4 linked regions of the Anolis sagrei genome follow. The protein of the gene in region 1 purifies or fractionates together with the protein of each later gene. This does not show direct contact. Links are inferred from orthologs where the notes say so. Each region holds a gene or a part of one and is shown on either strand. Other genes may lie near its edges.

Region 1 (6,959 bases):
ATCCGGGGAGAGCAGGTGGCGCTCCCTCTGTCAGCTCCAGCTCCCAATGCAGAAATATGAGAGAAGCCTCCCACAAGAATGCTAAAACATCAAACATCCGGGCATCCCCTGGGCAACGTCCTTGCAGATGACCAATTATCTCACACCAGAAGCAACTTACAGTTTCTCAAGTCACTCCTGACACACACACACACACATGGTTTTCCTTCAGTATATTTCCAATATTTGGACTTCTTTCCTCTCCTCTACCAAAACACAATAAAGCCCCATCATTCTAGTTCATTTTTTAATTTTTAAGAATGACCCAAGATGTCATTAATCTTGTTATTAGCCTGAGTGTATTAAGCTTATTTTAGAAAACCATCCACTTAAAAAAAATTAAAAACACACCAGCGTCTTTCATACTCTTTGGCTTTCCATTATTATCACCATAGGCTATTAGTCACGGTGGCAGTAGAGTCCTGGCGGTGGGTCCATAATGGGGTATAGTATGAGGCCTATTTTTAATGGTAACTCTCACGTAACCAAAAAGTACTTTGATGTGACATCTACAAATCCCTGAGAGTCTACTATACCAAGTATTGCGAAATCCCATCAGCTAACCCATCACCCCCTTTTGTTAGACCTTGAACATTTTTACTTCAACCTAGTTTAGTTTTTAAAATAATATGACCCAAGATTTCATTAACCTGATGTATTAGCCTAGGCCCTTTCCACACCTCTGAATAAAATCCCACATTATCTGCTCTGAACTGGGTTATATGGCAGTAGTTCAAAACAGTTACTGTGGGATTTTCTGCCTTGATTCTCTGGGGCCCCTTTCACACATCTGCATAAAATCCACATTATCTGCTTTGAACTAGGTTGATGAACAGGTTTACATTCTCACACTATTGCTTAGCCTCAACGTTTTATCATTGGAGTATATGCCCCCCCCCTTTGTGAAAAAGCCTGATTCCACAACCCCCACTATGAGTCCTCCTCCGCAAATAATCTGACTCTCTCTTATCTCGCCTGAGTTTTAATTAGTTTTAATCAGTCTCTCTTTTAATCATTATATGTAGCCCGCCCTTTGTCATTGTGATTGTGCCTATTGTAATTTTATATTGCTATATTTTCATATGTTTTATGTAATTATGTTGTTTGTTGTTTATTGTTTGCGTTTTCGGTTTTATTTTATTGTAATTTTCTGTTTGGGGTTGGCCTCATGTAAGCCGCTCCGAGTCCCCAATGGGGAGATGGTGGCGGGGTATAAATAAAGTTTATTATTATATGGCAGTGTAGACTCAGATAACCCAGTTCAAAGCGGTTATTGTGGGATTTTCTGCCTTGATATTCTAGGGCCCCTTCCACACAGCTGCATAAAATCCCACATTATCTGCTTTGAACTGGGTTATATGGCAATGTGAACTCAGATAACCCAGTTCAAAGCAGTTATTGTGGATTATCTCCCTTGATATTCTATTTTATATGCCTGTGTGGAATGGCCCTGGGTGTATTAACCTTGTTTTAGAACAAATACAGCCCTCCACTTAAAAAACAACAACCATAAAAACCATCACCTGCATAATTCATACTGTCACCAAGAACCCTCTTATGTTTTATGTAATTATGTTGTTTGTTGTTTATTGTTTGCGTTTTCGGTTTTATTTTATTGTAATTTTCTGTTTGGGGTTGGCCTCATGTAAGCCGCTCCGAGTCCCCATTGGGGAGATGGTGGCGGGGTATAAATAAAGATTATTATTATTATTATTATTATTATATGGCAGTGTGGACTCAGATAACCCAGTTCAAAGCAGTTATTGCGGGATTTTCTGCCTTGATATTCTGGGGCCCCTTCCACACAGCTGCATAAAATCCCACATTATTTGCTTTGAAAGGGGTTATATCGCAGTGTGGACTTATTGCGAGATTTTCTGCCTTGATATTCTAGGGCCCCTTCCACACAGCTGCATAAAATCCCACATTATCTGCTTTGAACTGGGTTATATGGCAGTGTGGACTCAGATAACCCAGTTCAAAGAAGTTATTTTGGATTATCTGCCTTGATAATCTATTTTATACTAGCCGTCCCTGCCACGAATTTCTGTGGTACAGTTGGTGTATATGTTTTGTGTGTGTATAAATATGCATATTTGTGTATATGTGTATATATGTGGTTTTGCACATGCGTTGTAATGTATTGGGGGGGGGGCTTTTTAAGTCTCTTCCACTGTGTTTTTCAGTGTTTTTATGAGTGATGGTCATTTGTTGACCTGATAGTTGTATTGTGTCCAAATTTGGTGTCAATTCATCCAGTAGCTTTTGAGTTACATGAATCCCACAAACGAACATTACATTTTTATTTATATAGATGGCTGTGTGGAAGGGCCCTGGCTTAGAACAAATACAGCCCTCCACTTAAAAACAAACAAAGATAAACCCATCACCTGCATCATTCAAAGTCTGTCACCAAGAACCCTCTTCAAAGCCAAAGGAATGCTAAATCCCATCAGCTGCTGCATCATTCCCTCTTCTCAGGCCTTGACTACTTTTCCTTCACTAGCTTCCCAATCGTTGTCCTTCTTCCTCCTCCAACCAGCCACTGATACCACAAAGCCTCCATCATTGCAGTTTAGAGCCTTGTTGTTGAATTTAAAAAACACATATTAAAGATTCTTGGAAACAGGTAGGGAAGAGCTATGGCGGGCTTACCCCCCTTCCTTCTCCTCCAGCCACTACCTCATTTCGCAGGTACCCCGGGTTGCCAGGGAAACCTCTCAGCCCGTATCGCCTCCCTCCTCCTCCTCTTCTTCTTCGCCATTCACTTCCTCCCTCCGCCACAAACCCTCCCTCTCTCTTCCTCCTCACCATGAACTTGAGGGCCTTCTCCTGCACCACCGCCTCGGCCGGGTCCATCGCCCCTCTCCTCTGCCGCTGCTCCCCCGCCAGCTCCGGGCCTGAGGCCTGGGCCTAGGCCGCCCCCGCTCTCCCTCCCTTTCCCTCAGTGCAAGGCCGCAGACAGCGCAGCGGCAAACAGGAAGCCCCTGCTTTCCTCCCGCTCGGCTCACTGGGAAATGTAGTCCCAGGCCCGTTTACCGAGCAGATTCCGGCACCGCTATTGGACTACACTTCCCAACAAGCCCTGCGACAGGGGATACGCTGAGCAGGCCGCCTCTTGGAGGAGGAGAGAATAGGCGCTGAGGGAAGTGAGAGCGTGTGCTCGCAAGGGCTGATGGGAGCTGTAGTTCTGACTTGAGCCTCGACCTCTAATAGGGACTTGTAAACTCTGTCACAAAACAGAGGGAGAAAATGTGGAGGCTGTGTCAGAGTTTGTATTTCTAGGTGCAAAGATTACAGCAGATGCAGACTGTGGCCAGGAAATCAGAAGACGCTTACTTCTTGGAAGGAGAGCAATGACCAATCAGGATAAAATAGTGAAGAGTAGAGACATCAGACTGGCAACAAAGATCCGCCTAGTCAAAGCCATGGTATTCCCTGTAGTCACCTACGGATGTGAGAGCTGGACCTTAGGGAAGGCTGAGCGAAGGAAGATCGATGCTTTTGAGCTGTGGTGTTGGAGGAAAGTGCTGAGAGTGCCTTGGACTGCGAGAAGATCCAACCAGCCCATCCTCCAGGAAATAAAGCCCGACTGCTCATTGGAGGGAAGGATACTAGAGACAAAGTTGAAGTACTTTGGCCACATCATGAGGAGACAGCAAAGCCTGGAGAAGACAATTATGCTGGGGAAAGTGGAAGGCAAAAGGAAGAGGGGCCGACCAAGGGCAAGATGGATGGATGGCATCCTTGAAGTGACTGGACTGACCTTGAAGGAGCTGCGGGTGGTGATGGCCGACAGGGAGCTCTGGCGTGGGCTTGTCCATGAGGTCACGAAGAGTCGGAGACGACTGAACGAATGAACAAGAACAACAAAACTCTGTCACGATTTGCTCCTTTCAATGCTTCCCAAACTTTAATCCTCTAGGTGTTTAGACTTCAACTCCCAGAAGCCTCGGCTGCCTTGGCCAATGGTCAGAGATTCTGGGAGCTGAAATCCCAAACTCATTGGGCCCTTCCACACAGCCCAATATCCTACCTAGAACATCGAGGCAGAAAATCCCAGAATATCTGCTTTGAACTGGGTTATCTGAGTCCACACTCAGGTCATGTGGGTTTTCCTACCTTAATATTCTGGGCTAGAGGGCTGTGTGGAAGGGCCCTTAGAGGACTTTGGCTTTATTTATATATTTATTTATTTACAGTATTTATATATATTAAATAAATATGGCAGTGTGGACTCAAATAATCTAGATGAAAACAGATATTGTGAGGGTTTTTTTTTTTTTTTGCCTTGATATTCTGGGGCCTCTTCCACACAGCTGAATAAAATCCCACATTTTCTGCTTTGAACTGGAATATATGGCAGTGTGGGATCAGAACCCTTACAGACAGCCATACAACCCAGAATATAAAGGCAGGAAATCTCACAATATCTGCTTTGAACTGGAATATATGGCGGCGTGGGCTCAAATAACCCAGTTCAAAGCAGATAATGTGGGATTTAATTTTTTTTGCCTTGATATTCTGGGTTATATGGAAGGGCCCTGTGTTTGGGAAACAATCTACAGCAGTGATTCCCAAACTTTGTACAGATTTTGAGGCTTCATATCCCAAATTTCCTGACTAAGCGCCCTTCCAGATAGGCCCTATATGCCAGTATCTGATCCGAGGTTTTCTGCTTTAAACTGGATTATATGACTCCCCACTGCCAGATAATCTGGGAAAAACATAAAACCTGGGATCAGGTCCTGGGATATAGGGCCTGTCTGGAAGGGCTTTAAGGCTTAAGGGAGCTGAAGTCCCAAACTACTGCATGACTCACGTTTGGTAACCATGGAACTACAGTGCAGTTTGACACCACTTTAGCTGCCTTGGCTCAATGTATGGAATAATGGGAGTTGTAGCTTTACAAGAGCTGTATGTGGCCTCCTTGGTGCCTCTCTATGATTCCATAGCATTGAGCCATGACTGTTACAATGGTGCCAAACTGCATTAATTCTACAATATAGACCAGACATGGGCAAACTTTGGCCCTCCCGGGATTTTGGATTCCAACTCCCAGAAATCCCAGCTAGTTAGGAATTGTGGGAGTTGAAATCCAAAACACCTGGAGGGACAAACTTTGCTCATGCTTGGTATGGACGCACCCTAAGTCCTTGTTTTAGATGTACTTGTAATTTAAATTTTAGTAGTGGAGAATATGACAGCAAAGAATGAGAAGAAAGTCATGTTAACCAAACGACAGAAAGAAGGAAAGAGTGCCAACAGCCAAAATAACCACAGCTGATTATAAGTGAATGTAAGCATCCACATTTCGTACCTTGTTTCATGTAGCAGGTGTCTTTGGAGAGCATAGGGACAAATGTGAGGGCAACCACGTACTCATTGGTTGGTCTTAGGCAGGCTACTTATCTTTCTTATAGACTCACCCCACTTGCCAAATCATAATAAAATGGGCATGTTATAAAAGCCCCCCCCTCCATAATGAACAAGATAGCCTCTCATTAAATGATGTTGCTTCCAAAATCATTACAATCTGTCTCTCTTAAATTATTATCAGTTCACTTTGATATCTTCAAAATGTATTATTTCTTTAATTCCAGGACTCATAACTTTTGTGAGCCTCGTAGCAGTACATCAGTTTTAGAAGATTAGTTGTTGGTTTATATTATCTTAACTGGATAAACTGAGAGGGATGTAGTAGTTAAAATAATTTACACAGTCATCTACTGCATCCTTCACATTCCTTCCATTCCCTACACAATGATGTTGTTGTGTTACCTGGCAAACATGAAGCCAAGATTTATGTGAATCCAACTGATTCAGGACTTGCAACTAGATGGAAGTCATCAAGTATATGAGAAATTCTGGCTATTCAATAATCATTATGGAAAGAGTATGTTTATAAGCTTTTCTTATTACTTAAACACAACAGCGTAACTTTACTGAGTGTTCTGCTTATCCAAAGTCCTCTTAAGAGTTTCAGGCCCCAGGTAGGAACACCTGCTGCTTCCCCAGAGGAATAGAATATCTACCATGTTATCTAGAAGCAGCTGTAACTGTCTGGTCAGGATGGATTAAGGTATGCTAGTGCTGAAATGATCACATGGAACATCTGTGGCAACAGCGAGTCCTCCTTGGATTAATCTAGGGATGCATCTGTAATGACAGGCAAACAGAAGAATGTGTGCTGTATAATGAGACATGAAAAATCCAAGATGTGTTCTGCGTTAAAAATAATAATTCCAAATACAGTAGACTTGCAGTTAACCAGAACCCAAGGAAACAACAACAAAATAGAATAATAATTCATTCCCAAACCTGTTTTTATAATACAGTAAAACTGTGTTGCATTGAGTTATATTTGTCTTTATTTGCTTTTAATTACGGCATTTCAATATTAATATGAAGTCAAGTGTATGCTATGGTACAGCTAGGCCTATTTTAAATACTTACGCTCAAGCAACCAGAAGTTACATTTATCCGCATCTAACAATCTCCATGGGTGCCAGTTAAATAAGCACTATATATGTATTCCCTTTCTTGCTTTTCCCTATATTTGTATTTAGGAAGCACCCCCCTCTACCCCCCTCCACACACACACACACGTAGATTGTGTATTTGGAAAACTTTGCTTTTCTGCTTACAGATTAAAAGGAAACTGAAAAGCTTATTTTTAATTTAAATTTTCTACCTTCAAGGACTTCTTCCTACCTCAACTCATCTGCCAAGGAATCCCCCTCCCAATACACACTGATTTTACTGCAGCAAATTCTCAGTTCATGTTGAAAACTTATTAGAGGATTTTTGTCATCTACTGTGAACTTGCACAACAAAATGCATTATGTGACATATTCAACACTCCCCAACAGTTTTGCATTGCAGGAGAGGAAATATGAAGGTCAAGTTGTCTTTCAGGT
Region 2 (7,694 bases), on another chromosome or scaffold:
CGTTATTATTTCCGCATGTCTGTGGCAAGTTTTATAGTTGTTTTTTGTTTAATTAGTGAAAAAAATTATAATATCACACCAACAGTCAACAACAGAGGGAGAGGGAAGCTTCAGAAGTTCCCCCTGTCCCATTTGGAGGTTGTTTAGCGTATTGCGCGGTCGCGTCCGCCATTAACGAATCGATTCGTTAATGTTTCGTATTTGTTTCGTTAATGTTTCGTAATTTTTTAAACATTTACGAAATTTCGTAAATATCGAACTTTTTAAAAGAAAAATTTCGGAATTCTTTTAAATATTGAAACGCAAAAACCCCCAAAAAACGAATCGATTTTAGAAACAAATTTTTCCGTTGTTACCCAGGCCTAATAGATAGATAGATAGATAGATATGATCCACACACACACACAAACATGTATATGACAGATATAGTATCATAGATTTGAAAGGGACCCTCAAAGGACAATTATATGCTGCATGTTCCAGAGTAGCCAAACCAGACAACCTCTACATCAACACTGACAAAGAAACAACAAGAAATACTGTGTACTCACAAGTATAAAGAAATTACATATATTAGAAACCAACACTTTCTCATTACTTTACTTTCAAGTAGTAGTAGTAGTAGACTGGGCCACAGCAATGCATGGCAGGGAAAGGCTAGTAGAATTATAAAATACATTAAAACTTTTAAAACATTTAAGTCAATATCACAATTTTTAAAGTACGCTATCCATAATCGTAATCCGAGATGTCCTTGCACATAATTCTATATCTGTTTATTGCACGGTTTCTCCAAAGGCTTGATCAAAGAACCACGTTTTTACTCTCTCACTGAAGGTTAGGAGGGAGGGGGTTGATCTAATATTCCTTCAGAGGGAATTCCACAGCTGAGGGGCCATCACTGAGAAGGCCCTGTCTCTTGCCCCCACCAGTTGCACCTGCGAAGGAAGTGGGACCGAGACCAGGGCCTCCCCGGATCTTAAACTCTGAGATGGTTCATATGAGGAGATCTGTTAGGACAGGTAAGCTGGGCCGGAACCATTTAGGGCTTTATAGGCTAAAACCAGCACTTTGAATTGTGCTTGGTAGCAGACCGACAGTTAGTGGAGCTGACGCAACAGGGGAGTCTGCTCTGGTAAGCACTCTGGCTGCCGCCCATTGGACTATTTGAAGCTTCCAAACAGTCTTCAAGGGCAATCCTATGTAGAGCATGTTGAATTAATCTATATGGGTTGTAAACAGAGCATGGTCTACCATGGCCAAGTCTGACTTGCCAAAATACAGGCGCAACTGGCGCACAAGTTTTAATTGTGTGAATGCTTCCCTGGCCACTGCTGAAACCTGAGATTCCAGGCTCAGCAATGAGTCCAGGACTCCCAAGCTGCAAACCTGCACCTTCAGGGGGAGTGTAACCCCATCGAACACAGACTGTACCCTATACCATGCTTGGCTTTGTGACTGACCAGGAATACCTCTGTCTTGTCTGGATTCAATTTCAATTTGTTTGCTCCCATCCAGGCTGACACAGCTGCCAAGCACCGGTTCAAAACCTGAACAGAACCTACTTATTAGCAGGTGGAAAGGAGTAATAGAGTTGAATGTCATCTGCATACAGATGGCATCGAACTCCAAAACTCCGGATGATCTCTCCCAAGGGCTTCATATAGATGTTAAACAACCTGGGAGACAGTATTGAGCCCTGCAGGACCCCGAGCAGGTGTCCCCCAACAACACCTTCTGGGAATGACCCTCTCAGAAGGACAGGAGCCCCTACAGAACAGTACCTCCAAAGCCTATTCCTGTGAGGTGTTCAAACTACAGGAAAGGAGATGCCACCTGAACATGAGGAAGAACTTTCTAACAGTGAGAGCTGTTCAGCAGTGGAACTCTCTGCCCCAGAGTGTGGTGGAGGCTCCTTCTTTGGAGTCTGTTAAGAAGAGGCTGGATAGCCATCTGTCGGGGCTGCTTTGAATGTGATTTTCCTGCTTCTTGGCAGGGGGTTGGACTGGATGGCCCACGAGGTCTCTTCCAACTCAATGATTCTATGATTCTATGAAAGCCCTGAATGCATGCTGCATTGCCCAAACACTGTGCTGACAACTTGCCCTCTGCAACCACATGGAAGTGGCCACCGTAGCTAGCTATTACTATGTGCCATGATGGTGAAGGACGCCTCTCTGACCCCTTCAACACAGCTGAATAGACTCCAACAGTATCTGGTAGGCCTGGGTAACAACGGAAAAATTTGTTTCTAAAATCGATTCGTTTTTTGGGGGTTTTTGCGTTTCGTTATTTAAAATAATTACAAAATTTTCCTTTAAAAAAGTTCGATATTTACGAAATTTCGTAAATGTGAAAAAAATTACAAAACATTAACGAATCGATTTCCGAAACAATAACGAATCGATTCGTTAATGGCGGACGCGACCGCGAAATACGCTAAAAAACCTCCAAAAACTTCTGAAGCTTCCCTCTCCCTCTGTTGTTGACTGTTGGTGTGATATTATAATTTTTTTTCACTAATTAAACCATAAAACTGGCCCAGACATGCGGAAATAATAACAAAACGACCTCAGAACAATAACGAAACGAATACAATAACGAAATACGAAGCATTTGCAAAACGTGTTTAAAAATTCGTTTTTTTAAAAAATTGCTCCAGAATGGTTCGTTATCGTTTTGTAATTGAAAAAATTAACGAATTATTAACGAATTACGAATTAACGAAACGAAACCGCCCAGGCCTAGTATCTGGTATATATGGCAGTGGACTCAGGGCCCTTCCACACAGCCCTATATCCCAGAATATCAAGGCAGAAAATCCCACAATATCTGCCTTGAACTGGGTTATCTGAGGGCCTTTCCACACAGTCCAATATCCCAGAATATCAAGGCAGAAAATCCCACATTCTCTGAGTGTAGATTCACATAACCCAGGGCCCTTCCATACAGCCCTATATCCCAGAATACCAAGGCAGAAAATCCCACATTATTTGAGTGTGGACTCAGATAACCCAGTTCAAAGAAGATATTGTTGGGATTTTCTGCCTCGATATTTTGGGATACAGGGCTGTGTGGAAGGGCCCCTCAATAACCCAGTTGAAAACACATATTGTGGGATTTTCTGCCTTGATATTATGAGATATAGGTATTTGTGGAAGGGCCCTGAGTCCACACTCAGATAATACGAAATTTCCAGCCTCGATATTCTGGGATATAGTGCTGTGTTGAAGGGCCCAGGGTTATGTGAATCCACACTCAGAGAATGTGGGATTTTCTACCTTAATATTTTGGGATATAGGGCTGTGTGGAAGGGCCCTCAGATAACCCAGTTCAAAGCAAATATTGTGGGCTTTTCTGCCTTGATATTATGGGATATAGGGCTGTGTGGAAGGGCCCTGGGTTATCTAAGTCCACACTCAGATATTGTGGGCTTTTCTGCCTTGATATCCTGAGTTGTATGGCTGTGTGAAGGGCCCACAGAAAATCCAGTTCAAAGCAGATATTGTGGGTTTTCTGACTTGATATTCTGGATTATAGGGCTGTGTGGAAGGGCCCTGGGTTATCTGAGTCCAGACTCTGATAATGTGTGATTTTCTGCCTTGATATTCTGGGATATAGGGCTGTGCAGAAGGCCTTGGGTTATCTGAATCCCGACTCCGACAATGTGGGATTTTCTACTGTGATATTGTGGGTTATAGGGCTGTGTGGAAGGGCCCTGGGTTATGTGAATCCACACTCAGAGAATGTGGGATTTTCTGCCTTAATATTTTGGGATATAGGGCTGTGTGGAAGGGCCTCCAGATAACCCAGTTCAAACAAATATTGTGTGCTTTTCTGCCTTGGTATTATGGGATATAGGGCTGTGTGGAAGGGCCCTGGGTTATCTGAGTCCATACTCAGATATTGTGGGATTTTTTGCCTTGATATCCTGGGATATAGGGCTGTGTAGAAGGACCCTAAGTCTACACTCAGATTCTGTGGGATTTTCTGCCTTGATATTCTGGGATATAGGGCAGTGTAGAAGGGCCCTTCGATAACCGAGTTCAAAACAGATATTGTGAGATTTTATGCCCTGATATTATGGGATATAGGGCTGTGTCGAAGTGCCCCGAGTCCACACTCAGATATTGTGGGATTTTCTGCCTTGATATTCTGGGATATAGGGCTGTATGGAAGGGCCCTGGGTTATCTGAATCCACACTCATATATTGTGGGATTATCTGCCTTAATATCCTGCGTTATATGGCTGTGTGGAAGGCCCCTCAGATAACCCACTTCAAAGCAGATAATGTGGGCTTTTCTGCCTTGATATCCTGGGATACAGGGCTGTGTGGAAGGGCCCTGGGTAGAGTCCATGCTCAGATATTGTGAGATTTTCTGCCTTAATATCCTGGGTTATATGACTGTGTGGAAGGGGCCTCAGATAATCCAGTTCAAAGCAGATATTGTGGGATTTTCAGCCTTGATATCTTGGGTTATAGGGCTGTGTGGAAGGGCCCCCAAACTCCAGCCCGGATTTTCCAAGCTGCTTCAGAGGCTTGGGAGGCAGCATGCTGTGAGAACTGAGGCTGAGAGGGGCTCCTTCATCTCCAACCTCACACAGGGCTCAGCTTACCCTCCTCCTGCTGCTAAAGATCCCACCTTCTCAACAACAACAAAAAAGAAAGAAATCTTGAAAACTTTCCCTGAAAAAAAAAGAAAAAAAGAAAGAAAGCACCACCCTCTTCCTCCTCTTCTTCCTGAGCAGCCTGAAAGCCCTAAAGGGGAGTGTTGGGGGGAGAGATTTGGGGGAGAAAGAGGGGATCCCATCCCCTCCTGGCCCATCTCTCTGCTGCTGCTGCGCCCAGCCCTCCTTTCCCCAGCCGGCCGCCCAGGCGGAGCGGGCTGATTGGCTCCATGTGCCAAAGCTCAAGCAAAGCATCGGGAAAGTTTGGAAAGCAAACCAAAACTTCCTGCTTCAAGGTGGTCCTTCTCTCGGGCTCCAGACGGGAGGCTCGCACATTGATCATCGCGCCTGCTCCTGGGATGAAGTTGGTTTGATTTGAATCTCGGAGAAAAAGAAGAAGAAGGGGAGCAATATATATATTAATCAGCGTCGGTGGGATTTTCTGCCTCCCTTTTCTTTCCTCTACAAAAAGAAGGCAAAGCCACAATGTGGAAAATTTGGGGGATCTGGTGAAAGAAGCCACCCCCCTTCTCCCTCATCTCTTCTTCTTTCCTGATGGGGTTTTGTTGTTGTTGTTTGCGGGCGACACTCAGTAGCCCACCCTGGATGTTGCTAGCCTAGGGGAAACCAATCCGAAGAGAGAGGGAAACTGCCCATCTCGAGAAGCCCAAGAGCTGTGCTTGGGATCATCATGACTCCCCAACAATCCCCATCCAGGCTTTGAAAGGTAAGCTCTTTCTTCTTCAAAGCCCAGTTCTGTGTCTATTTGTGTGTATCTCCCATTGGTTTGGGGAGATGGACCTTATTTGTTTTGTTTTTGGCAACTGGCAGGTTTTGCCTTTCCAACACTCCTGAGTTTTTGTTTTTTTCTGACATGAGCAAAAAAGCAAGCAGCGTGGGTGGGAATTGGGAAAGGAATGGGAATGTTATGGGGTTTTTTTTCTTTCTTTCCTGAACTGCTACAAAGTTTGTCGGATTTGTCTCAACTTTCTTCAAAGGCCTCTTCCACACAGCTGTATAAAATCCACATTGGACTGAATTGTATGGCAGTGTGGACTCACATAATCCTGTCCCTGTGGATTCTCTGCTTTGATATTCTGGGTTATATGGCTGAGGCCCCTTCCAGACAGCTGAATAGAACCCAACAGTATCTGCTTTGAACTGGAATATATGGCAGTGTGGACTCAGACAACCCAGTTCAAAGCAGATATTATGGGATTGTCTGCCTTGACATTCTGGGTTATATGGCTGTGTGGAAGGGCCCCAAAAGGATTTTTGAAGGCTGGATCTATACTACCATATAGTCCAGGGGCCCTTCCACACAGCCATATAATCCAGAATATCAAGGCAGGAAATTCCACAATATCTGAGTGTAGACGCAGAACCTATCCACACAGCCCTGTAGCAAAAAATCCCACAATATCTGCTTTGAACTGGGTTATCTGAGAACCCTTCCACATAGCCCTATATCCCAGAATATCAAGGCAGGAAATCCGACAATATCTGCCTTGAATTGGAATATCTGAGGGCCCTTCCACACAACACTATATCCCAGAATATCAAGGCAGGAAATTCCACAATATCTGAGTGTAGACTCAGGACCTATCCACACAGCCCTGTAGCAAAAAATCCCACAATATCTGCTTTGAACAGCCCTATAGCAGAAAATCCCACAATATCTGCTTTGAACTGGGTTATCTGAGGACCCTTCCACATAGCCCTATATCCCAGAATATCAAGGCAGGAAATCCCACAATATCTGCTTTGAATTGGAATATCTGAGGGCTCTTCCACACAACACTATATCCCAGAATATCAAGGCAGGAAATTCCACAATATCTGAGTGTAGACTCAGGGCCCTTTGACACAGCCTTATATCCCATAATATCAAGGCAGAAAATCTCACAATATCTGTTTTGAATTGGAATATCTGAGGGCCCTTCCACACAGCCCTATATCCCATAATATCAAGGTGGGAAATCCCACAATATCTGCTTTGAAGTGGGTTATCGAAGGGCCCTTCCACACTGCACTATATCCCAGAATATCAAGGCAGGAAATCCCACATTGTCTGAGTGTGGACTCAGGGCCCTTCTACAAATTCCTATATCTCATAATATCAAGGCAGAAAATCCCACAATATCTGCTTTGAACTGGGTTATCGAAGGGCCCTTCCACACAGCCCTATATCCCATAATATCAAGGCAGGAAATCTCACAATATCTGCTTTGAACTGGGTTATCTGAGTCCACACTCAGATAATGTGGGATTTTCTGTCTTGATATTCTGGGGTATAGGGTTGTTTGGAAGGCCCAGAATCCACACTTCCATATATCCCAGTTCAAAACAGATAATGTGGTATTTTATTCAGATGTGTGGATGGGGCCCAGGTTATCAAAGCAGATCATCCACATCATCTCTGTTGAAGTGGATTCTATGAGGTCCCTTCTACACTGCCGTATAAAATCCAGATGATTTGCTTTGAACTGAATTATGTGGCAGTGCAGACTCCCATAATCCAGTTCAAAGCCAAAAATGTGCATCGTCTGATTTGATAATCTGGATTATATGGCAGTATAAAAGGGCCCTGAGTCTACACTGCCATATAATCCAGGTCAAAGGAGATAATTTGGGTCATATATGATAGTGTAGATGGGGCTGAAAACACATCTTGTCCAGGAAGAAGTTGGTGAGCTCCTGTCTTGAAACCCGGCCTCAAAAGCAAACTTTTGAGGGTGGTAAACTTTCTGATTCCAAGCAAGTTTCTACACTTTCAGAATTTTGATTGTTGGCCAGACCCAACAGAGAACGGACATTGCCAGATTGCTCTCCGCACCCCTCTCACATCTTTTCTTTCTGTCAGATTTTGATTCAACCACCCAAAAGAAGTCTCCATCAATCCTGTTCTGCAAAATCATAGAAACAGTTCTGATCCCATTAAAACTGGGGTAGGGATGTCAATAAACTCCACTAACAATTGATTTGCAAATAGTAATGGGAGTAAATGACAAATGATTGTTCGTAC
Region 3 (7,114 bases), on another chromosome or scaffold:
GAATGTTCACATTTGGGCGTATTGAGTGCTTGTGCCAAGTTTGGTCCAGATCCATCATTGTGCTCTCTGGATGTAGGTGAACTACAACTCCCAAACTCAATGCCCACCAAACCCTTCCAATTTTTTCTGTTGGTCAGGGGAGTTCTGTGTGCCAAGTTTGGTTCAATTCCATTGTTGATGGAGTTCAACAATGATTGTAGGTGAACTATAAATCCCAGCAACTACAACTCCCAAATGACAAAATCATAATTTTTTGAGTGATGGTCACTCCTTGCGTTGTGAGACGTTTTGTTGCCAAATTTGGTGTGATTTCGTTCATTGGTTCTTTTGTTTTTAAGGTACTCATTATGCACAGTGTACCTTATGCAGTGTACCTTTTTAACTTGTATGCAGAACACATCATGCGATGTGCGGGGCTTGATGAATGCAAAGCTGGGGTGAAAATTGCTGGAAGAAACATTAACAACCTCAGATATGCAGATGACACCACTGTGATGGCCGAAAGCGAGGAGGAGCTGAGGAGCCTTGCCTTCTAATCAAGGTGAAAGAAGAAAGCGCAAAAGCTGGGTTGCAGCTAAATGTCAAAAACCCAAGATTATGGCAACAAGAATAATTGACAACTGGAAAATAGAGGGAGAAAATGTGGAGGCCGTGACAGACTTTGTATTTCTAGGTGCAAAGATTACTGCAGATGCAGACTGGCCAGGAAATCAGAAGACGCTTACTTCTTGGGAGGAGAGCAATGTCCAGTCTCGATAAAATAGTAAAGAGTAGAGACATCAGACTGGCAACAAAGATCCGCCTAGTCCAAGCCATGGTATTCCCTGTAGTAACCTACGGATGTGAGAGCTGGACCTTAGGGAAGGCTGAGCGAAGGAAGATCGATGGTTTTGAGCTGTGGTGCTGGAGTAAAGTTCTGAGAGTGCCTTGGACTGCGAGAAGATCCAACCAGTCCATCCTCCAGGAAATAAAGCCCGGCTGCTCACTGGAGGGAAGGATACTAGAGGCAAACTTGAAGTACTTTGGCCCCAGGTCTCGGCGGTGGCCGGGAGAGCTTTTGCACAATTAAAACTTGTGCGCCAGCTGCGCCCGTACCTTGGGAAGTCGGATCTGGCCACGGTGGTCCACACTCTTGTTACATCCCGGATAGATTACTGCAACGCACTCTACGTGGGGTTGCCTTCGAAGACTGTTCGGAAACTTCAATTAGTCCAGCGGGAGGCAGCCAGACTGCTCACCGGAGCGTCATACAGGGAGCATACCACCCCCCTGTTATGTCAGCTCCACTGGCTGCCGATCCAGTTCCGAGCACAATTCAAAGTGCTGGTTTTGACCTACAAAACCCTATACGGTTCCGGCCCAGCGTATCTGTCCGAACACATCTCCCTTTACGTCCCATCTCGGAGTCTGAGATCCTCTGGGGAGGCCCTGCTCTCGGCCCCGTCTTTGTCATAAGTGAGATTGGCGGGGATGAGGAGCAGGGCCTTCTCAGTGATGGCCCCTCATCTATGGAATTCACTCCCTGGGGAAATTAGATCAGCAACATCCCTCCTTTCCTTCAGAAAGAAATTAAAAACATGGATGTGGGACCAGGCGTTTGGGCAATCTGGCAGATGAATAAAGGACTGTGACGACGGATAGGAATTGGACAAGGTGGAACGAAATATGGACTCTGAGTTGGCGAACGCTGTGTCTGAGATTGGCTATTGATTGTGAGATATATTGTTGTTTTAATTGTTGACCATTTAATTGCTGGTTCTATATGTTATTGTATTTGTGTAGGCACCAAGATGTGCCTTTTTGTAAGCCGCCCTGAGTCCCCCCTCGGGGGTTGAGAAAGGCGGGGTAGAAGTATATGAAATAAATAAATAATAAATAAACATCATGAGGAGACAGCAAAGCCTAGAGAAGACAATGATGCTGGGGAAAGTGGAAGGCAAAAGGAAGAGGGGCCGACCAAGGGCAAGATGGGTGGACGGCATCCTTGAAGTGACTGGCTTGACCTTGAAGGAGCTGGGGGTGGTGACGGCCGACAGGGAGCTCTGGCGTGGGCTGGTCTATGAGGTCACGAAGAGTCGGAGACGACTGAACGAATGAACAACAACTCCCAAACTCAAGGTCAATGCCCACCAAACCCTTCCAGTATTTTCTGTTGGTCATGAGAGCTCTGTGTGTGGTGGAAGCTCCTTCTTTGGAAGCTTTTAAACAGAGGCTGGATGGCCATCTGTCGGGGGTGCTTTGCATGTGATTTTCCTGCTTCTAGGCAGGGGGTTGGACTGGATGGCCCATGAGATCTTCTCCAACGCTATGATTTTATCATTCAATTCCATCGTTGATGGAGTTCAGAATGCTCTTTGATTGTAGGTGAACTATAAATCCCAGCAGCTACAATTCCCAAGTGACAAAATAATAATTTTTTGAGTGATGGTCACTCCTTGTGTTGTGAGATGTTTTGTTCCCAAATGTGGTGTGATTTTGTTCATTGTTTCTTTTGATTTTTAAGGTACTCATTATGCACAGAGCATTTATATATATATAGATACAACCACAACAATAAACATAATAATAAACATAATAATAATAATAGTAATAATAATAATTACCAAAATTAACAAAATGAAGTTCAACAGTGACAAATGCAAGATACTCCACTTTGGCAGAAAAAACAAAATGCAAAGATACAGAATGGGGGACAATGTCTGGCTCGAGAGCAGTACGTGTGAAAAAGATCTTGGAGTCCTCGTGGACAACAAGTTAAACATGAGCCAACAATGTGATGTGGCGGCAAAAAAAGCCAATGGGATTTTGGCCTGCATCAATAGGAGCATAGTGTCTAGATCTAAGGAAGTGATGCTACCCCTCTATTCTGCTTTGGTTAGACCACATCTGGAATATTGTGTCCAATTCTGGGCACCACAATTCAAGAGAGATGTTGACAAGGTGGAATGTGTCCAGAGGAAGGTGACTAAAATGATAAAAGGTCTGGAGAACAAGCCCTATGAGGAGCAGCTTAAGGAGCTGGGCATGTTTAGCCTGAAGAAGAGAAGGCTGAGAGGAGATATGATAGCCATGTATAAATATGTGAGAGGAAGCCACAGGGAGGAGGGAGCAAGCTTGTTTTCTGCTTCCCTGGAGACTAGGATGCAGAACAATGGCTTCAAACTACAAGAGAGGAGATTCCATCTGAACATGAGGAAGAACTTCCTAACTGTGAGAGCCGTTCAGCAGTGGAACTCTCTGCCCCGGAGTGTGGTGGAGGCTCCTTCTTTGGAAGCTTTTAAGCAGAGGCTGGATGGCCATCTGTCAGGGTGATTTGAATGCAATATTCCTGCTTCTTGGCAGAATGGGTTTGGACTGGATGGCCCATGAGGTCTCTTCCAACTCTTTGATTCTATGATTCTAAGAGAGGAGATTCCATCTGAACCTGAGGAAAACTTCCTGACTGTGAGAGCCGTTCAGCAGTGGAACTCTCTGCATCCGAGTGTGGTGGAGGCTCCTTCTTTGGAAGCCTTTAAACAGAGGCTGGATGGCCATCTGTCAGGGGTGATTTGAATGCAATATTCCTGCTTCTTGGCAGAATGGGGTTGGACTGGATGGCCCATGAGGTCTCTTCCAACTCTTTGATTCTATGATTCTATTAAATACAAGCACAACAATAAACATAATAATAAACATAATAATAATAAATCAGCTGAGGCATACTCCTATTTCCTCCTTCTCTTTCCCCAACCCTTTCCTCTTTTTCCCTCCCTGCACACACAAAACAAACCCATGCTGCCCTGGTTGCTCCAGCCAATCCTGCCTGCTTTGGTCCCCTTTCCCCAGCCTTCCCCCCCTTTCTCAAGGAATGGACTCGCCCGCCTCCCGGAGGGGAAACAAGGCGAGAGGCCGCCCTGATTGCGAGGAAAGGGGTGGGAGAAGTCAGGGGGGCGTGGGGAGAGGAGGGAGGAGGAGGAGTTGGGCGCCTTGTTGCTATGGGGAGATGGCGAGGAGGGGAGAGGAGGCGGCAGCAGCCAGCCAGCCAGCCAAGCCAGAGGAGCAGCTGCTGCTGGTCGGTGACACATTTCCCCTTCTCTGCTGCCTCTGCCTCTGCTGCTGCTGCTGCCATATTGAGAGAGAGAGAGACCCTTCCTCAACTCTCCCCCCTTCATGAGGACAGTGAGTTGCAACCTTTGATTCCCTCTTGAGGTTTGGGCAGAACCCCCTCCAAACACCTCCAAATCCTATTCTCTCCTTTCCCTCCAAACTGGGCATGCCTTTCCTTCCTATTCCCATTATCTCCCCATCCCCAATTTCAGATTTCATAATGTTTAGCCTTTTTTGGGATGTGTAGTTCCACTTTGGCATGTAGGGTTGAAATAAAGCAGTGGCATGGTGACTTTGGAAGGCAGCATGTGCCTTTACACAATGGTGCACAATGGAGTGCCATTTGGAGGGGTGCCTTTCCTTTTGGAGAGGTCTTTTTGGGAGATCTAGGATAGATGAGGGTTTGAATGTGTGTCAGAGAAAGAAATAAAGGGGGTGTAATTTGGGGGGGGGGGGGTTGGTTGTGCCATTTGTGGCTCTCCATTGTATCAAGCCAGGTTTTGAGTATGCATATATATGCACTTGGATATTGTTGGAGGAACAAATGGTTTTGCAACTGGGGACTTTGGAGGAAATATATTGCTTTATCTCTGCCATGGATTTGGTATTTATTTTCCAAGGCAGAAAAAAAGGGTCTCTTCTATTCCAAACCAGTTGTTTGTGAATATTTGGAGAGGATATTGGAATAATAATAATAATAATATTTGGAGAGGATATTGGAATAATAATAATAATAATATTTGGAGAGGATATTGGGAATAGTTGTGTGTGAATATTTGGAGAGGATATTGGAATAATAATAATAATAATAATAATAATAATTGGAGAGGATATTGGGAATAATTGTTAATATTTTGAGAGTATCTCTTTGCGAAAGCTTGGGAATGGGATTTGGAGCGAAAGAAGAGGGAATGAAATATTAACACATAATTAAATATACAGTTATTAAAATTAAGTGAGTTTTGTGTATGGCAGTGACATAGACAGAAGGTTATTTCTGATCCAAACTTTACATTGTGTAAAGTTAGGATCAGAAATAACTTCACATTGTGTTAGTATTTGGTGTTTTGTGCCTTTTAATTTTTTGTTTTGTGCCTTTTAATATCTGTCTTTTAATGTTGTTGTGCTTTATTTGTATGTGGTTTAAGCCACATACAAATAAAACACAGAATTAAACATACAATTATTAAAATAAATGAGTTTTGTGGATGGCAGTGCCATAGACAGAAGGTTATTTCTGATCCTAACTTTACATTGTGTTAGTATTTGGGGTTAACATATTTTGTTTTAATATATGTCTTTTAATGTTGTGTTTTATTTGTATGTGGTTTAAGCCACATACAAATAAAACACAGAATTAAACATACAATTATTAAAATAAGCGAGTGTTGTGTATTGTAGTGCCATAGACAGAAGGCCATTTCTGATCCTAACTTTACATCTGTTAGTATTTGGTGTTAACATATTTTGTTTTAATATATGTCTTTTAATGGTGATATGTTTTATTTGTGTGTGGTTTAAGCCATGAGGAGAGGTGGGCAACAAATACACTGCCACCATCATCATTATTTTACTATTGTTGTTGTTGAGATCGAGTGGCCTCTGATTAGGACCCCCAAACTGTTCCAATTTGGACTCAGATCTTCAGTATCTTTTTGCACGCTTTCATGTGGATGGGAGAGTTTGGGTTGAGTTTTAGGGGCTATTTTGGGGCTCCTAATTTATCTCCCCTTTTCCCAATCATTCTTGGAGGCCTGCCTAGAGTTTCCCCCATCAAACATTGGGGTGTTGGGAATGAATATACTATCTCTTTAAGGGGTCTGATTGGGACCCCCCAACTGTTCCCCTTTAAGACTCAGATCTTCAGTATCTGGGAATGAATAATATCCCTTTAAAGGGGAGAAAGGGGTCTGATTAGGACCCCCAAACTGTTCCCCTTTGGACTCAGATCTTCACAGTATCTTTTTGCACGTTTTCATGTGGGTGGAAGAATTTGGGTTGTGTTTGGGGGCTTTTTTAGGGGTTCCTAATTTGTCTCCCGTTTTCCCAATCTTCCATGGAGGCCTGCCATCCAATTTTGGGGTGTTGGGAATGGATACATCCCTTTAAGGGAGGGAGAAAGGGGTCTAATTAGGATACCTAAACAGTTGCCTTTTGGACTCAGATCTTCAGTATCTTTTTGCACACTTTCATGTGGAGTTTGGGTTGAGTTTTAGGGGCTATTTAGAGGTTCATAACTTGTCTCCTCTTCTCCCAATCATTCTTGGAGGCCTGGCTAGAGTTTTCCCCATCAAATTTTGGGGTGTTGGGAATGAATATATCCCTTTAAGGGGGGGGAAAGGGGGTCTGATTAGGATCCCCAAACAGTTGCCTTTTGGACTCAGATCTTCAGTATCTTTTTTCATGCTTTCATGTGGATGGAAGAGTTTGGATTGAGTTTTAGGGGCTATTTTGGAGGTTCCTAATTTGTCTCCCCTTTCCAATCTTCCATGGAGGCCTGCCGTACAATTTTGGGGAGTTGGGAATGAGTATATCCCTTTGAAAGGGGAGAAAGGGGCCTGATAGGATCCCCAAACTGTTCCCCTTTGGACTCAGACCTCAGACTCACTTTCATGTGGATGGAAGAGTTTGGGTTGAGTTTTAGGGGCTATTTTGGGGTTCCTAATTTGTCTCCCCTTTTCCCAATCTTCCTTGGAGGCCTGCCATACAATTTTGGGGTGTTGGGAATGAGTATATCCCTTTGAAAGGGGAGAAAGGGGTCTGATAGGATCCCCAAACTGTTCCCCTTTGGACTCAGACCTCAGACTCACTTTCATGTGGATGGAAGAGTTTGGGTTGAGTTTTAGGGCCTATTTTGGGGTTCCTAATTTGTCTCCCCTTTCCCCAATCTTCCTTGGAGACCTGCCTAGAGTTCCTTCCATCCATTTTTGGGGTGTTGTAAGTGGATAGATCCCTTTACGGGGGAGGAAAGAGGTCTGATAGGATCCCCAAACTGTTCCCTTTTGGACTAAGATCTCCAGCAACATTA
Region 4 (8,023 bases), on another chromosome or scaffold:
TGCCACTTTTAGACTCTGTGTTAATAGAATCCTGGGTTGTATAGTTTGCTTATTTATTTATCGTGACCGAACAATTGTATTGCATTTTTTAACAAACAAACAAACAAACAAAACACAAAGTTTGCAAGCTTGGTAGTTAATTAAATGTCCTTTGACCAGTATCTGGCTCTTCTCCACACTCGCATGTTGTGGATTCCACTTTGTGGCCCCATTTCTTGCGGTTGGCTCTGCATCTCATGGTGCCAGAGCGCAGTCTGTTCAGCGCCTTCCAAGTCACCCAGTCCTCTGTGTGCTCAGGGGGGAGTCTCTCATTTGATATCAGCCATTGGTTGAGGTGTTGGGTTTGAGACTGCCAGTTTTGGACTCTTGCTTGCTGAGGTGTTCCAGCGAGTGTCTCTGTAGATCTTAGAAAACCATTTCTTGATTTAAGTCGTTGATGTGCTGGCTGATACCCAAATAAGGGATGAGCTGGAGATGTCTCTGCCTTGGTCCTTTCACTATTGGCTGCTACTTCCCGGCAGATGTCAGGTGGTGCAATGCTGGCTAAGCAGTATAATTTCTCCAGTAGTGTAGGGCGCAGAGATCCCGTGATAATGCGGCATGTCTCATTAAGAGACACACCTACTGTTTTAGTGTGGTGAGATGTGTTCCACACTGGGCATGCATACTCAGCAGCAGAGTAGCATAGCACAAGGGCAGATGTTTTCACTGTGTCTGGTTGTGATCCCCAGGTTGTGCCAGTCAGCTTTCGTATGATATTATTTCTAGCACCCACTTTTTGCTTGATATTCAGGCAGTGCTTCTTGTAGGTCAGAGCACGGTCCACAGGTTTTTTTTTTTCGTGTCAGGAGCAACCTGAGAAACTGCAAGTTGCTTCTGGTGTGAGAGAATTGGCCGTCTGCAAGGACGTTGCCCAGGGAACACTCTGATGATTTGATATTTTACCATCCTTGTGGGAGGCTTCTCTCATGTCCCCACATGAGGAGCTGGAGCTGATAGAAGGGACTCATCCGCCTCTCCCCGGATTCGAATCTGTGACCTGTCGATCTTCAGTCCTGCCGGCACAGGGGTTTAACCAATTGCGCCACCGGGGGATCCACGGTCCAGAGTGACTCCCAGATATTTTGGTGTGCTGCAATGCTCCAGTGGGATTCCTTCCCTGGTAATCCTCAGAGCTCGGGATGCTTGGTATATTTTGCTGAGACACCAACAGTCTTTCATCATAGGAGCGCAGTGGGTTAAACCCCTGTGTTGGCAGGTTGCAGGTTCGAATCCAGGGAGAGGCGGATGAGCTATCAGCTCTAGCTCCTCATGCGAGGATATGAGAGAAGCCTCCCACAAGGATGTTTTTGTTGTTCATTCGTTCAGTCGTCTCCGACTCTTCGTGACCTCATGGACCAGCCCACGTCAGAGCTCCCTGTCGGCCGTCACCACCTCCAGCTCCTTCAAGGTCAGTCCAGTCACTTCAAGGATGCCATCCATCCATCTTGTCCTTGGTCGGCCCCTCTTCCTTTCGCCTTCCACTTTCCCCAGCATAATTGTCTTCTCTAGGCTTTGCTGTCTCCTCATGATGTGGCCAAAGTACTTCAACTTTGTCTCTAGTCTCCTTCCCTCCAGTGAGCAGTCGGGCTTTATTTCCTGGAGGATGGACTGGTTGGATCTTCTCGCAGTCCAAGGCACTCTCAGCACTTTCCTCCAACACCACAGCTCAAAAGCATCGATCTTCCTTCGCTCAGCCTTCCATAAGGTCCAGCTCTCACATCTGTAGGTGACTACAGGGAATACCATGGCTTTGACTAGGCGGATCTTTGTTGCCAGTCTGATGTCTCTACTCTTTACTATTTTATCGAGAGTGGACACTGCTCTCCTCCCAAGAAGTAAGCGTCTTCTGATTTCCTGGCCACAGTCTGCACCTGCAGTAATCTTTGCGCCTAGAAATACAAAGTCTGTCACGGCCTCCACATTTTCTCCCTCTATTTTCCTGTTGTCAATCATTCTTGTTGCCATAATCTTGGTTTTTTTTTATGTTTAGCTGCAACCCCGCTTTTGTGCTTTCTTCTTTCACCTTGATTAGAAGGCTCCTCAGCTCCTCCTCGCTTTCGGCCACAAGGATGATAAAACATCAAAAAATGCCTCTAGAACATGGCCATAAGAGGAGAAATGCCTCTAGAACATGGCCATATAAGAGGAGAAATGCCTCTAGAACATGGCCATATGAGGAGAAATGCCTCTAGAACATGGCCATATAAGAGAAAATGCCTCTAGAACATGGCCATATAAGAGGAGAAAATGCCTCTAGAACATGGCCATATAAGAGGAGAAAATGCCTCTAGAACATGGCCATATAAGAGGAGAAAATGCCTCTAGAACATGGCCATATAAGAGGAGAAAATGCCTCTAGAACATGGCCATATAAGAGGAGAAAATGCCTCTAGAACATGGCCATATAAGAGGAGAAAATGCCTCTAGAACATGGCCATATAAGAGGAGAAAATGCCTCTAAAACATGGCCATATAAGAGGAGAAAATGCATCTAGAACATGGCCATACAGCCCGGAAAAACCTACAACAACCCATCAAAAAATCATCCGGGCGTCCCCTGGACAATGTCCTTGCAGATGGCCAATTCTCTCACACCAGAAGCGACCTGCAGTTTCTCAGGTCGCTCCTGGCACGACAAAAAAACAAAAACAAAAACAAAAAACCCCATAGTTTCTAGCCCATGCCTGGGCCAACATGGGCCCTCCACATGTTTTGGAGTTAAAACTATGGCTATTAGGAATGTATAAATATGTGAGAGAAAGCCACAGGGAGGAGGAGGAGGGAGCAAGCTTGTTTTCTGCTTCCTTGGAGACTAGGACGCGGAACAATGGCTTCAAACTACAAGAAAGGATATTCCATCTGAACACGAGGAAGAACTTCCTGACTGTGAGAACCGTTCAGCAGTGGAACTCTCTGCCCCAGAGTGTGGTGGAGGCTCCTTCTTTGGAAGCTTTTAAATAGAGGCTGGATGGCCATCTGTCAGGGGTGATTTGAATGCAACATTCCTGCTTCTTGGCGGAATGGGGTTGGACTGGATGGCCCATGAGGTTTCTTCCAACTCTTTGATTCTATGAATTGTGGGAGTTGAAGTCCAAAGAGCCTGGAGGGAGGGCCCAAGTTGGCCCAGGCCTTGCCTAGAATCAGTGGGAAATGTATTGTCGAAGGCTTCGACAATACATTTCCAGAGGTTCCCAGAAGACATCACGGCGCTGTTTCACCATTGCCTCACCACCAGCTATTTTCAGTGGGACAATGAATTCTACGAACAGAAAGATGGAGTAGCTATGGGGAGCCCTCTCAGCCCAGTCATAGCTAACTTCTACATGGAACAATTTGAAAAACAAGCTCTTGAAACAGCAACCAAAAAGCCCACTATATGGTTCAGATATGTGGATGACACTTTCACCATTTGGAGCCATGGAGAAGAAGAACTCAACAGGTTCCTGGAACATCTTAACAGCATCCACCCTAACATCCAGTTCACTATGGAAATAGAAAAGGAAGGAAGACTGCCTTTTCTAGATGTCCTAGTCATCCGCAAACCAGATCAACAATTGGGTCACACCGTCTACAGAAAACCCACACACACAGACAGATATCTACATAAAAACTCCAACCATCACCCAAGTCAAAAAAGAAGCACCATCAAAGCCTTGGCAGACCGTGCAAAAAGAATCTGTGAACCCCACCTCCTCCAAGGTGAACTGAACCACCTCAACTGGGCTCTACAGGCCAATGGATACTCCACCTCAGACATCAGAAGAGCTGCAAGACCAAGAACAAGCCACAAGAATAAAGATGAAGATCCACCCAGAGGAAAAGTGTCCCTGCCATACATCAAGGGAACCACTGACCGGATAGGGAAGCTGATGAGGAAACACAACATACAAACAATCTACAAACCCACCAAGAAAATTCAACAAATGCTACGTTCAGCAAAGGACAAGAGGGATCCTCTCACCTCTGCAGGAGTCTACCGTGTACCATGCAGCTGTGGACAAGTCTACATAGGGACCACCAAACGCAGCGCCCAGACACGCATCAAGGAACATGAAAGGCACTGCAGACTACTCCAACCAGAGAAATCAGCCATAGCAGAGCACCTGATGAACCAACCTGGACACAGCATTCTATTTGAGAACACAAAAATGCTGGACCACTCTCACAACCACCATGTCAGGCTACACAGAGAAGCCATTGAAATCCACAAACATGTGGACAATTTCAACAGAAAGGAAGAAACCATGAAAATGAACAAAGTCTGGCTACCAGTATTAAAAAATTCTAAAATTAAAACAGCAGAGAGAAAAACAGGCAGGGACATCTAATCACCTTTCATTAAGAGTTTGCTCCAGGCACAGTCAGCCCATTGTATGCTAATCAAGGTGGTCAATTGAAAAGATTCACACCTAGCCCATCTTACAGTAGCCTTTTGTCTCACCCTGGTCTTTCCACAGATATATAAACCCCCCTTTTTTCCCAGCTCCAGACCTCACCCTCTGAGGATGCCTGCCATAGATGCAGGCGAAACGTCAGGAGAAATGCCTCTAGAACATGGCCATATAGCCCGAAAAAACCCACAAGAAATCAGTGGGAAAGCCGCCATGTTTGGCCAACACGCGAGACAGGCGTCATCTTTCCTTGCTCCCCGTTTCTTCCCCTCGGCCAATCAGAGAGCGGGTCAGGGCGCGCTTTCTCTTAGCCAATCAGGGAGCGGGCCAGCGCGCGCTTCCCCCCGACCAATCGGAGACCGCGTCAGGGCGCGCTTTCCCTTGTTCTCCAATCAGCGAGCGGGAGAGGGACAGTAAGTAGGGCGCCGGGCACGTGACCGCGACGCCACCACCACCGCCGCCGCATTCCTTCCGTCCGCCATTTTAGGTTGGGATCAGCGAGGCGGCGCCATTAAAGCGCAAGAGAGAGACAGAGAGAGAAAGAGAGAAGGCGTGAGAGAGAGAAAGAAAGGAAGAGAAAGAGAGGAGAGCGAGGCTGCTTCAGTTTGAGCCGGCTTTCCTCCCCGTTTTGCCGACTCCCGCTTTCTCCTCAACTCCCAACATGTCGGACCAAGACTTCATGGGCGACGCAGGCGCTGCCGAGGCCTTTGACGAGGAGGCTGAGCAGCTGGAGGGAGTCGCGGTCGGAGGGAACGACGAAGAGGACGGCGCGGAAGGCGGCGGCGGCGGAGGGGGCGGCGGCGAATCCGAAGGCGCCAAAATCGACGCCAGCAAGAATGAGGAGGATGAAGGGTACGTTGGGTATGTTTCAACCGAACCGAACCGGGCCTGGGAAACGGGGGTGCGCGACGCGTGTGTGGTGTGTGCTGTGTGTCCCCCTCCCCCCATTCCCTTCCGCCATGCAGGAAGTCACAATCAAAGCCCCCCCGACAGATGGCTATCCAGTTTCTGCTTTGAAAACTCCCAGAGAGAGAGAGGCCCCACCCCTCCCCCCGCTTCCCCATTCTCTTCCGCCATGCAGGAAGTCACAATCAAAGCCCCCCCGACAGATGGCCATCCAGTTTCTGCTTTGAAAACTCCCAGAGAGAGAGAGGCCCCACCCCTCCCCCCGCTTCCCCATTCCCTTCCGCCATGCAGGAAGTCACAATCAAAGCCCCCCCCCCGACAGATGGCCATTATTATTATTATTATTATTATTATTATTAACATTATTTATACCCCGCAAAATCTCCCGAAGGACTCGATGCGGCTCACAAAGTCCAAGGCCGCCAACAACACAACATACATAATACACAATAAACTTAAAAGCAAATAATAAATTTTTGAGTCCCCCTTCCCCATTCCCTTCCGCCATGCAGAAAGTCTCAATCAAAGCCCCCCCCCCCCCCCGACAGATGGCCATCCAGTTTCTGCTTTGAAAACTCCCAGAGAGAGAGAGAGAGAGGCCCCTCCCCCCACAGGTCTTCCTCAGACTGTAATACTCGAAGTAAAAAATTAAAATACTGATATTGTACCATGCTAATAAAATAATATATATGTAATGTAATATAATGTATTGTATATACATGTAATTTTATATACAATGTAAATTTTTACTAATATTATATAATGTAATATAATATATTGTATATACATATAATATTTATAACATAATGTAATGCAATATAATACTCATAGTAATATATCATAATTATAAATTTATATTACATGTGATATTACTAATCATATTACAGTATAATTGATATAGTGCAATATAGCAATATTTAAAACTGATATTGTACTATGTTAATAATATATTGTATGTATATATACCTTGTAAGCCGCTCTAAGTCCCCTTCGGGATGAGAAGGGCAGCATATAAATGTCGTAAATAATAAATAAATAAATAATATATTGTATATGCATATATTTATATTATAATGTAATGCAATATAATACTAATAGTAATATATAATAAAATTTTATTTATATTACATGTAATATTACTAATACTACAATATAATGGTATAGTACAATATAGTAAGATGTTATACTGATATTGTACTATGTTAATAATGTAATGTATATACATATATTTTTAATATAATAATGTAATGCAATATAATACCAATAGTAATATATAATAAAATTATATTTATATTACAATATAATTATATTGTAATATTACAATATAATGGTATAGTACAATGTAGTAATATTTAATACTGATATTGTACTATGCTAATAATGTAATATAATATTACTAACAATATTATATAATTAATATATCTTGTATATACCTATAATATTTATAATATATTGTAATGCAATATAAGACTAATAGTAATATGATATTATAATAGTATATTTATATTAAATTTAATATTACTGACAATATTATATAATTAATATATTGTATATACATATAATATTTATAATATAATGTAATGCAATATAATACTAATAGTAATATGGTATTATATTTATATATTTATATTAAATTTAATATTACTAACAATATTATATAATGTAATATAATACCTTATATATAGATATATTTATAATATAATGTAATGAAATATAATACTAATAGTTATATGATACTATAATTATATATTTATATTACATGTAATGCTACTAATATTACAATATAATGGTATAGTACAACATAGTAATATTTAATACTGATATTGTACTATGCTAATAATATAATATATTGTATAAATATATATCTTGTAAGCCGTTCTGAGTCCCCTTCCGGGTGAGAAGGGTGGCATATAAATGTCGTAAATATATATAAAATAGTGTTACAGTTTTATTGTAGGTTAAGTTTGCCTTAATATTTCAATTAAGTTTGTATTTATCTATCTATCTATCTATGAGATAGAATATCAAGGCAAGGAGATTTCACCACCCGCCCAGGCAGCAGCATATTCCACTGTCCCAATTTCTTCCCAAAACTGTAATACTTTTAAGTAAAAAAAACAAACATGTATAACAGTGTTGCAGTTTTACCGTAAGTTCAGTTTGCCTTAATATTTTAATTACTAATTCCATTGTTGGAAATTATTCATACTGTAATACTTAAAGTAAAAAAATAAAATACATATATAATAATGTTACAGTTTTTTAAAAATACTTTTTTTATTGCATGCAGGTAGAAAAATATCACAATTTATCACCATTTCAGAATACATATAAAATATCATTTTCTTAGTGTTCTTACCCATGCCTAATCCACCTTTATCTCCCACTTGTGTCTATTGATTTTACATCCCCTCCCCCATCCCCCAATAGTGTTACAGTTTTATTTTAGGTTAGGTTTCCCTTAATACTTCAATGTGTGTGCATATATGTGTGTGTGTATGTGTGTATGTATGCATGTAATAGTGTACCTAGAGAAGAAAAATTCACCACCTGCCCAGAGGCAGCAGCATATTCCACTGTCCCAAGTTCTTCCTCATGCTGTAATACTTAAAAAAGATTAAAATACACATATAATCGTTTATCACAGTTTAAGTTAAGTTTGTCTTTATCTTTCAATTACTATA

What was found.
Region 2: the proteins of BTRC (region 1) and GLI1 purify together in Homo sapiens (affinity purification with western blotting; 3 studies listed by BioGRID). This does not show direct contact. The link is inferred for Anolis sagrei from reciprocal best matches to the Homo sapiens genes BTRC and GLI1.
Region 3: the proteins of BTRC (region 1) and FOXN2 purify together in Homo sapiens (affinity purification with mass spectrometry; 3 studies listed by BioGRID and IntAct, counting the BioPlex papers as one, with this or other methods). This does not show direct contact. The link is inferred for Anolis sagrei from reciprocal best matches to the Homo sapiens genes BTRC and FOXN2.
Region 4: the proteins of BTRC (region 1) and HNRNPD purify together in Homo sapiens (affinity purification with mass spectrometry; 3 studies listed by BioGRID, with this or other methods). This does not show direct contact. The link is inferred for Anolis sagrei from reciprocal best matches to the Homo sapiens genes BTRC and HNRNPD.

What each region holds. Positions count from the first base shown.
Region 1 is NC_090023.1:216,207,918-216,214,876, reverse strand, and holds the start of BTRC (F-box/WD repeat-containing protein 1A), read right to left. Parts: upstream 3,013-6,959; 5' UTR 2,899-3,012; coding exon 2,851-2,898; intron 2,772-2,850; exon of another isoform or gene 2,695-2,771; intron 1-2,694. UniProt on the Homo sapiens protein: Substrate recognition component of a SCF (SKP1-CUL1-F-box protein) E3 ubiquitin-protein ligase complex which mediates the ubiquitination and subsequent proteasomal degradation of target proteins. Recognizes and binds to phosphorylated target proteins.
Region 2 is NC_090022.1:185,741,260-185,748,953, forward strand, and holds the start of GLI1 (zinc finger protein GLI1), read left to right. Parts: upstream 1-4,583; 5' UTR 4,584-5,396; intron 5,397-7,694. UniProt on the Homo sapiens protein: Acts as a transcriptional activator. Binds to the DNA consensus sequence 5'-GACCACCCA-3'. Regulates the transcription of specific genes during normal development.
Region 3 is NC_090021.1:20,799,836-20,806,949, reverse strand, and holds the start of FOXN2 (forkhead box protein N2), read left to right. Parts: upstream 1-3,963; 5' UTR 3,964-4,158; intron 4,159-7,114. UniProt on the Homo sapiens protein: Binds to the purine-rich region in HTLV-I LTR.
Region 4 is NC_090025.1:17,071,859-17,079,881, reverse strand, and holds the start of HNRNPD (heterogeneous nuclear ribonucleoprotein D0), read left to right. Parts: upstream 1-4,880; 5' UTR 4,881-5,094; coding exon 5,095-5,294; intron 5,295-8,023. UniProt on the Homo sapiens protein: Binds with high affinity to RNA molecules that contain AU-rich elements (AREs) found within the 3'-UTR of many proto-oncogenes and cytokine mRNAs.